Linked DNA regions of Drosophila melanogaster. The protein of the gene in region 1 interacts with the protein of each later gene in a pairwise test. Each region holds a gene or a part of one and is shown on either strand. Other genes may lie near its edges.

What was found.
Region 2: the proteins of S-Lap7 (region 1) and Ptp4E interact in a two-hybrid assay, tested with the Drosophila melanogaster proteins (one large-scale study listed by BioGRID).

The regions. Positions count from the first base shown.
Region 1 is NT_033778.4:13,777,424-13,782,263, reverse strand, and holds S-Lap7 (Sperm-Leucylaminopeptidase 7), read left to right. Parts: upstream 1-2,018; 5' UTR 2,019-2,321; coding exon 2,322-3,905; 3' UTR 3,906-4,140; downstream 4,141-4,840.
Region 2 is NC_004354.4:4,937,312-4,942,391, reverse strand, and holds the start of Ptp4E (protein tyrosine phosphatase 4E), read right to left. Parts: upstream 3,265-5,080; 5' UTR 3,192-3,264; exon of another isoform or gene 3,088-3,191; intron 2,956-3,087; exon of another isoform or gene 2,860-2,955; intron 2,812-2,859; exon of another isoform or gene 2,717-2,811; intron 1,971-2,716; 5' UTR 1,746-1,970; coding exon 1,545-1,745; intron 1-1,544.

The DNA.
Region 1 (4,840 bases):
AGTGAAGCTAATTTAAAGTCAACCATCGGGTCAGATGTGCTGAAGCTGCAGGCCCAGGGAAATCGACACCAATTTCGGATGCCTTGTTTAACGTTCGGCTGGCTCTCTGCCCTTGCAAGTTTCTTTAAAAGAAACACTTTCGTACACACACACACTGGAAACCCATCAATTGCAGGACAAAGGCACTCGGAGCACATTAGCAACACATGCCAAGGGGATTTTTCGGGGGATTCAACCTTTTGGGGGTAATGTAAGAACCCTTTTGTCGAGTGATTCGCAAGCCTGAACAGAAGCAAACCGAACCAAACTTATAATCCCGAAACATATGTCGAGGGGCTCCATTAAATAAAACTTAAATCCCTGGCAACCTCTTTTCAACACTTGCAAAAATATGTTGTGCCCCCGCACATTGGGTAGTAAAAAGAAGAAGGCCAAGGAAAACAGGCAACAGCAGCAGCAAAAGGGTTGAAATAAAAATGAAATTAAAATATGTGAGTGGGAACCAGAAAATATTGCACCTGCAGATGGCAAGCAAGCGCACAAACAAACGCAAGGATAATACAATGGAGCTTGGATAAAATGCAGCGATAGTAAAATCTTTTTTACTAGATTTAAAAAAACATAAATTTATGTTTAATTAAATGTCTAATGTAACAAACAAATCGAATGACTTATAAAGAAAAGCTAAAACAATTATGTTACCAATAAAACCATTCAATCAATAGGAATTCCAGTTTTTGAACGATGTAAAAACATAAGCACTCTTGGAACAGTTCGTCTTATAGAGATCTCCCTGTACAGCGCTTGACTGAGAATGAGTGACGACCATTACCGACCATTTCGACCACAATAAAATGACAAATGCCCGAAAAATCTGACCATGTTCGCACACGTTAGAAGGAGCGGCAGATGCCGTCAAACAAGTCCCATGACGGGACTCATCACCTACCTCATCCTCGTGCTGCTCCTGCTCCACATTTTGGCCACTCCATCTGGCCGAAAGCGGCCTAACCTCCACCCAAAACCTGAGCCTAACAAGTGTCGTTTGCCTGTCAGAGACGAACGGACAGTATGGACAGACCAGTAGTAGGAGCAGGAGCAGGACAATGTCTGGGCTTTCCCTTGCTGCTGGCCCATCATCATGGCCATCATGACCATCACGACCATCAGGCGGCGTTTTTGGGGGGTTTAACAACCAGACCAACCGAGCAACCAACCAACCGACCGGCGGGCAATGGGGCTTAGTACGATGACGACAAGTCCAACAACTCGGACAGGGACAAGGCGAAAGCCTATTAAAAATCATGCTAAACGGCAGTAAAACAATGTGTGTGTGTTTCAACACCAGTTCCCAGTTTTGCTGGCCAGTTTGGAGTCCTTGTTTTCGGGTAGCTGCTGCACCCGACCTAATGCGCATTAACGCCAAAGTCGAGATCCCCAAATCCGAGATCCGAGTGGAGCCAGCAGATATCCCCGCCATTGCAATTCGTTGACGCCAATAAATAAAATGTAATCAGCTTTTCCCGCCCACCCAGCGAACTCTCGGCGATTGAGAGTCTAATAAAAGTGCTGCTTGCAGCAAAATAAAATTCAGCTCGAAAACAATTTTAAGTAGATTGGCAGAATGGAGCGACAGACTGGAGTTAAGGAATGGCAATGCAAGTTGACTGGAAATTGCTCCTTTTGGCCTCTTTTGTGGCAATTGCATTTTGTATACTGCACGTTAACACTGTACTCAGACGAAAAGCTTTTCGATGGCTTTTGTACGAGTATTTTGCTTACTCGAAAGTTGTTTGCCATTGCATTGCAACTTAATTTACATAAATATGAAAGCTATTTGTGTGCACTTAAAGTTAAGAAACCAATCTTTTTATAAATCCAATATTAGCTACTTTTGATTATATTATAAAGCGGCCAGAACTTTCTTTCACGTCTATGAATACTGCTTTACACAGATTGTTCAAATATTTTCGAATCACGTACTCCTTGAAGCTCAACTGTCAGTTGGTTTCCCAAGTGCTCGAACACCAATATGTTCAGTTTCATTTTATTAGTACGCCGGTAGAGAACAGATCGTTTTTAAAAAAGTCCCCAGAAAAATTTTTCGTTTTTTTTTTTCTCTCCAATATAGTTAAAACTTTCTCTTATCTTTTTTCGTTTCGGATTTTTCGACCAAATTTTGAGTGTGGAAACAGACGGACTAGTTTTAATCACCCAAAATTTTTGTAGTATTACTTGCGTTCGAAGGGGATTTTTTGAAAGCCCATATCCGATTTTCAAAGTATCCGAATATAACCAAGCAGAACTAACCGCCAATCAGGATGAACAAGCTACGTCAGATTCACTGCTCGTTGAAAAATGCGTGTGTCCTGTGCAAACCGCATGTCCTGTCCAGTGCTGGCGTGAGATTCTCCTGCGGCGATGGCAAGACGATGGCGAAGGGCGTGGTCGTCGGCCTCTATCAGAAGGAAGGCGACAAGGATCCCAAGCTGACTCCCGCCGGCCACAAGATTGACCAGCGCGTCCAAGGCAAGCTGATGAAGGCGATCTGTGAAACGAAGTTGGACGGACGACTGGGTCGCGGCAAGGTGTTCCACAACATCGATACCGAATTCGCAGCCGTTGCCGTGGTGGGCGTGGGCCTGGAGGGCATCGGCTTCAATGAACTGGAAATGCTGGACGAGGGTATGGAGTTCGTACGTGTGGCCGCCGGCGTAGGTGCCAGATCCCTGCAGCAGCAGGGTATCACCAACGTCTTGGTGGACGGCATGGACTACGCAGAGCAGGCGGCCGAGGGCTCCCAACTGGCCGTCTGGCGTTTCCCGGACAATCTGTCCAAGAAGAACATGCCGATGGTGCCGACCCTGGAGCTATTCGAGTCGCCGGATCACGAGGGCTGGACTCGTGGCATCTTCAAGGCGGAGGCCCAGAATTTGGCAAGACGCTTAAGCGATGCCCCCGCCAACTGCATGACGCCTACCATGTTTGCCCAGGCCGCCGTGGACGCTCTGTGTCCCTGCGGCATTACCGTGGAGGTTCGCACCATGGACTGGATCGAGGCCCAGCGCCTAAATGCCTTTCTGATGATCGCCAAGGGCAGCTGTGAGCCGCCAGTGCTCCTGGAGCTGAGCTACTGCGGCACCGCGCCCGATGACAAGCCCATTCTGTTCGTGGGCAAGGGCATCACCTTCAACTCTGGTGCCCTCAACCTGCGCCCTTGCAGAGGCATGGATGAGTATCGGGGCAGCATGTCCGCCGCCGCCTGCTGTGTGGCCATGATGCGCTGCATCGCCGCCCTGTCGCTGCCCATCAATGTGACGTGCATCATTCCGTTGTGCGAAAACATGCCCTCAGGAATGTCGGCGAAACCTGGCGATGTGGTCACCCTGCTCAATGGCAAGTCGATGGCCATACGTGATCTGGACAAGGCTGGTGTGGTTGTGCTATCGGATCCCCTGCTCTACGGACAGAAGACGTATCTGCCCAGGTTGGTGGTGGATATTGCCACCCTTAACACGGGAGTGAAGAAGGCCTTCGGTGGTGGCGCCACTGGCATCTGGTCCAACTCACACTACATCTGGAAGCAGTTCCAGCGAGCTGGCTCCATTTCCGGTGACCGTGTGTGGCGTCTGCCACTCTGGCAATACTACAGGCGCCAGGTCACCGATGAGCGCGCCTATGATCTGAGCAACAATGGACGTGGATTGGCCAGCTCCTGCCTGGCGGCGGCCATCCTTCACGAACTAGTGCCCTGCGTGGACTGGGCACATCTCGACACCCGTGGCACTGGACTCCTGTCCAAGTACGGTCTAGTGCCCTATCTAACTAAGAAGCGTATGACCGGACGACCCACCCGAACCCTTGTTCAGTTCGTCTACCAAATGGCCTGTCCGGAGATGAAGTAATCCATTTAGCTGATTTAGGCGGTTCTGTTGCCGTGTGATCAGTGATCAGTGCAGTGATCAGTGGCCGATTCACATTCGACCAAGTGTTATATTTCGTTTGATATTTTCAAGTAAATCAAAGATTTTCGGCGTGATTTTGGCATAAAAAGTTTTCATATATTCTATTAAATGCTAACTGGCGGAGGTTACTGTTAAAGCTTCAATAAATTTAATCTACAGTTAGATTTTAATACGATTTCATGGCTATACTTTCTTTTCATTTTCCCCCCAACTCAGGTGTGTCTGGGTGTCTCCTGTACACACGCCCTGCTCATTTCGCATTTTCACATTTTCAGGACACTTTTCGTGGCCTTTTGCCTGGTTGCGCACAAAGACGCACCATTGGCCGGGGACTTTGCCTTCTGGTTCGCCAAGGAAATACAGATAAATTAAATTCAGGAAACCCCAAGCTGCGCGAAAGTTTTTCCGCCAGTGAAAGAAAATGTTAATTCCGAGACGCGGGTGGAAACGGAGTGGAGTGGACTGGAGTGCATTTCCCTGGCACACGCTTCAAGTGCTTGAGGTTGGCCAAATGAATATATATACCGTATCAGCCGCCATATATCTATATCAATTGGTCCAGACAGCGCCCCAAAATGTCGGGCCAACACACATACACTTGGAAAATATAATCTGCTGTTTGAACATTAAGTAAATTAAGTGAGAGAGATATATGAACTAGGTGTGGTGAAGTGATTTCATTCACGAGGTAATTTTCAAATTTCCAAAGTTATATGGATACTAAAGTTTAGGAACTAGCCTTTCTAAAGGCTAATAGCTTAGATAAGCAAAATGTAAGGCCTTTATTTAATCTAACATACGATAATAATGTATATACCAAAATGGGCTAATTCGCAAGAGTGGCACTCCAAAATTAACTGAATTGATGGCTTTTG
Region 2 (5,080 bases), on another chromosome or scaffold:
CATTTTGTGGTTACGCCCCGCTCTCTTTTGGCCCGTAGTAAATAAACGAGTGACCGAAAACCTGGCTGATGTCATCGCCACTCTTCTTCGCTGGCATTTTTTTTTATTTTTTTTATAAACATTTTCGCATTTGTATGTTTGGGACGCTTAGTAATACGAATACTTTCGGCCAAGTTCCAAGTTCGGGCGATAAGCCGGCACGTAATGACCTGCGATCCGCAATCGCGGCAATGCCCAGATAAAATGAAAGCCAAAGTCACAGTGCCAGAAACACGTGAGTTATGAATATGAAGCATGTGGAAAGAAAAAAAAAAAACAAAACTAAGACGGCAGTGCATTCAAGTTATTGTGGCCAAAGAAACTGCGAAATCAGGGACAACTTTATTGTTGTTGTGATCATCTGAGATACAAAGAATACACAAACTGCAGCAGCAAAGATACAAGTTTTGCCATCTATTTATTAAGGCTTTGATTTCTATAGTTTTTTTTATTTTTTATTATTTCAAGCTTAGAAACAGTTTACGACTATGCTGGGCTATCTCGGGGAATCGCTCGATAAGCGTATTGAAATTTTTTCAGAGTGAGGAAGTTGCGATGGACAGCGTCATCAGAACCAACCTTGATTTTAACTTGCGTTCGCTTTTTAGTGTTTTCATCATTTTTTTTTTTTTTTTAACTTTTTACTTGTTGCGTTGCGATGGTTGGGATTTTGTTTTTATTGTCTTTCGTTTGCGCTGAAACAATGCGACAACAATGCAAAACGAAACGAAATGAAACGAGTTTTGTGAACGAGGTAAAAAAAAAAACTCAGGCAATAAAACAAGGAATAATCACGGGAATAAGCCCACAAATCACCCAACAAAATCAAATTTAATCACCGGATTCATCACCTGTGTGTGTCATTTCAAATTGACTTGGGCCTAAACTTCTAATTTGCGCTTCTAAATTGCCTTTAAAGATTTCGAGCTATGCAATCAATAGTTTGACTACCGAAGTTTGATCAGATAACAAGTAAACCTGGTTTGAAATATTGAACACATTAAATATTTGTATCTCACTATTCGATTTTATATGAAATCTGGATTTATCGTAATTTTAGTTCAATTTTAGTGAGCGGTTGAGCGAGTTCATATTAAAATAACATAACACCCAGCCAAAATCACAACTAGAACCGGCCAAACGAGTTCCTAAAACGCACTCAGCGAATCAAAAACCCAGTTAAGACATTTTCTGCCACTAAATGTGGAAAATAGTTGGCTTGTAATTTTCGAAAAAAAAAGAATCAATAAAAACAGAAAAAAACATTTCAAAATAATTAGCAAATTGTCTGTGTTGCTGGCCAATCTATGAAATCTGCATTGTAATTAGTTAAAATATGAATATTTTTGACAACCCTGCGCCATCCATTAGGAGTCCTCAGAATTTTCCCAACGAATTTCCCCCAAATCATAGAGGTAACTAACTTTGCGGGTTTACCTGTCGCTTTATCTTTATCACTATGTTTTGTTGTTGTTTCTTTTCCTTCATTTTTTTTTCTCACTCACCTGAGCCAAAAAAATTGTCAAAATGCCAACAACAAGCCACACGAAATGTTTTTGTTGTTGTTGTGAATTTTGGTAGTAGTGGTGGTGGTTGTGGCGTTGTTTTTGTAATTGCTGCCGCTTTCGTCCATGTGTTTGTATTTGTATTTGTTGCTGCTGATGATGTGCCCGTAATTGTTGTTGTTTTCGCGTGGCACAGTCCATTTTCAAGTACAGTAAAACCCAATGATGGTCGAAGGTTTCGCAGATTGCTGGTTTTACTTTTCAAGCGGGGATGGGCGGTGTTTTGCGCTTATTGTTTTACACATGTATGTACGTTTGTATTGCATATACATTTCTGTTGGCCGTTACATGGTCATTTGTTTGTATTGCACACGCATATTACGTTTCCTCTATTACTTAATTAATATTGCACTTGTATTGCACTCTCTGTAACGGGAAACGGGAGAGCAATGATGAGCGCGATCGAGAGCGAGAGCGGCAGATGTGGGCCCATTGTAATTGTTGTTTTCTAATACGATTTCCATTAACAATCGCCGGCTAATGCACGAAAAATGATTTATGTCCAAGCGAATTTGTAACGGCACATGCGTGCGGGAGAAGAAGAAGCAGAAGCGAAAGCTGCAGGTGAAGAGCAACACTGATCGTGGAGGGGGAAGCGGCTGGCTATGGAAATGTGAGCCACGCACAAGTACAAGTGCGTGTGCATGAGCGCTGCAAGTGTGTGATTTGATGCAGACACACATGCATACATAATCACACTCACACGCATTTGTGGCTGTAACGGCGCTTCACTACAAGTACAGTGGGCCCTCCCTGCTATTGAACACGCGAGCATGTAAATCTAACGAGATTTAGAAGTTAATATATGAAATGTAAATTCAATGCAAACATATAACGAATTTGGTTAATATGCCCGACAAAGTTTCGATTAGCGAGTCTTCACTGTGGCATTACAGTTTGCTACCGTTGTTATTGTTGCTGCATTACGAAATATCCAGCAATTAACAGACAATTGTTGTTGCCGCCGCTTTTTGCACTTCATATTTGCACTACCACTAGCTGAGCAGGTGTGTGTGTAGGTGTATGTGTAAATTACAGGTACTAGGGTAATATAAATTACAATAGTAGGCGGTTAATGGTGATTGCATTAAATGCTAATTGCACGCATTTACTTTTACTCCACCCTTGCTCTCCCACTCGCTCTCTCTGCCACACACACACTCGGACACACTGATGCAATGACTAAATGCGGCGGCGCAACGGCGTCGACGTTGGCAGCGACGGCATGGACGAAAAAAAAACTAATTCACTTGACTGTTGCTCTTTTTCTTCTGCTTCCTCTCCTCTCCACCCTCTTCATCCGCTTCTTCTTGTTTTCGTTGCACACCAATTTAAAACAAACTAGTCACGTTTCGTTTTAAGCGGAAAACATAAAAACAGAATATAAACTTCTGGCGCGTCGGCGCATTTGTTTAAAAAAAAAGAAGTCACAAACAAAAAATTTAGGCTTTAGTAACCGTTATTATGCAGAAAATAAACTGACACTTTTATTGACCGACAACTTGTTACTGACAAGAAAAAAAATAAGAAAAATTGGTTGCGAAAAGGAATCGGCCACGACAAATTGAAGCGAATGACTGCACGCACTTTTCACCACTGTTCATCAATGAATTTCCACATTTTCTGCCTTTTTGGACGACCGTCGCTTAACGAATGAATATAAATACAATACAAAGGCGTGACCGCCGCGCAGTGCTGCCGAAAAACAGAAAAAAAAACCCAAAAATACTGAATAAATACCACATATTTTACACAACACAGGGTCACTCATAATTTATTTAAAATTGTTAAATTTCTTAAAGAATATATTGTTAATATTATATGACATGTTTTGCTCATGTTTGACCAAATTTGATGTTTCGTTGATTCGGAAAGCGAAATTTAATTCATGCAGTTGATATTCAACAAGTATTCGTGCAGTCACACTTTGCAATTTCAAAAATTGCAATTTGGTAATTATTTCCAATGGTATTATTATAACTTTGTCATTTTTATTACTAGTCTTCTAATAGAAAATACAATTTATTTTATATATTGATATATTTAGTAAATAAAATAATATTTTGAGCACTTGTTAAAAATGTATCCATGTTTTCATAATAAACAGAACACACCAACTCAAACAAATTTGAAAATATCTAAAATTCGTTTATATTTGCAGAGAAGGAAATACCAGGTAATAAGTGAATTAAACTGTTTTTACTGAACTTTTTACAAAAATTTTATAATTATTTTTTTATTTTTTTTTAGATATGCAATATGAAAATTATATCAAGCAAGCTTAAGAAAGTTATATGAGCACCGGCACTCAAGGCTCACAGCTCGTAGAGTAAGTAGCTATCTTATGGTATTATTATATACAGGTTCATTTTTATTTGGTTTTAAAATACATATATCTCTGTATATATAACAAGTTTTTTTTCGTAGAACCTCAGAATAATCTCGAAGTGGTTTTGTGTGGGGTTAGCTAAGACGTTTTGAGACCAAAAAATTTATTAAATTATATATCAACAAAATTTAAATTAAACGTATTCGTAAATTAAATAAAATGTAAAACAGGAGTATGACCAGCTAGCTGTATTCAGTATTTTTGTTAAATTTAATATATTTCTTTAATTCTGTTAGGTAGCTGTAGCGTTAACAGCACTAATCGATAAATTGCCGAAGCTGTTAGGAGCTAACATACAGTCACTAGCAGAACGTCAAGTTGATGTCAGTAGCAATCAAAAGTGAAAAGGAAGCGAAAAAGTGCATTTTAAACTGAAAATAAAGTGTGATAAATAACAGTTGTAAAATCGAGCGGCTCAACCAAGGTAAAGATTGCAAGTACTATTTGATTGTCACAACATATCATATATGTTAAATATGTAACATATTTAAGGAGCAACACAAGCAACATACAACTGTGGTGAATGTATCTGTGTAAATATTGCCTTGGTGTGCGTGCAGTCGGCTTCATTTTGTTTTGCTGTTGACCTTCGCAGATCGAAAATGAGTTTAAATCGAATTCGTAAAAAAAAAGCCGCTTGAACTCTTCCAATGTCAAAAGCAGCGTTCAGAAACTGCGGCAATTGTGCGAAAAACACCAGAAAATAACGCCATCAATAAGTAGCACACAATACATGCAAATGTGTTTTTTTTTCTTGTGTCTTTTGCGCGCGCTTTCTCTGCAAATGTATTACTTAACAGTCGCTCTCTACGTCCCCATATCTCTCTCTCTCTCTTTCTCGCTCTAGAAATATAAACTAAACATTTTCTGCCTTTTTACTTTCTTTTTCCGGCTTTTTCTTGTTTTTGCCTGGCTATTACGGCTCATCTGTGTGTGTGTGTGTGTATGTGTATGCAGATACCGTTATGAGAGCGAAACCTGTTTCACATTCTTATGAGAATTCCAATCAAAGTCTTTCACTTTCCGTAGCTTGTTAGGCGCAAATGAAAACAAGGTCAGCCGCTGTTAAATACGCATGTTTTTATAC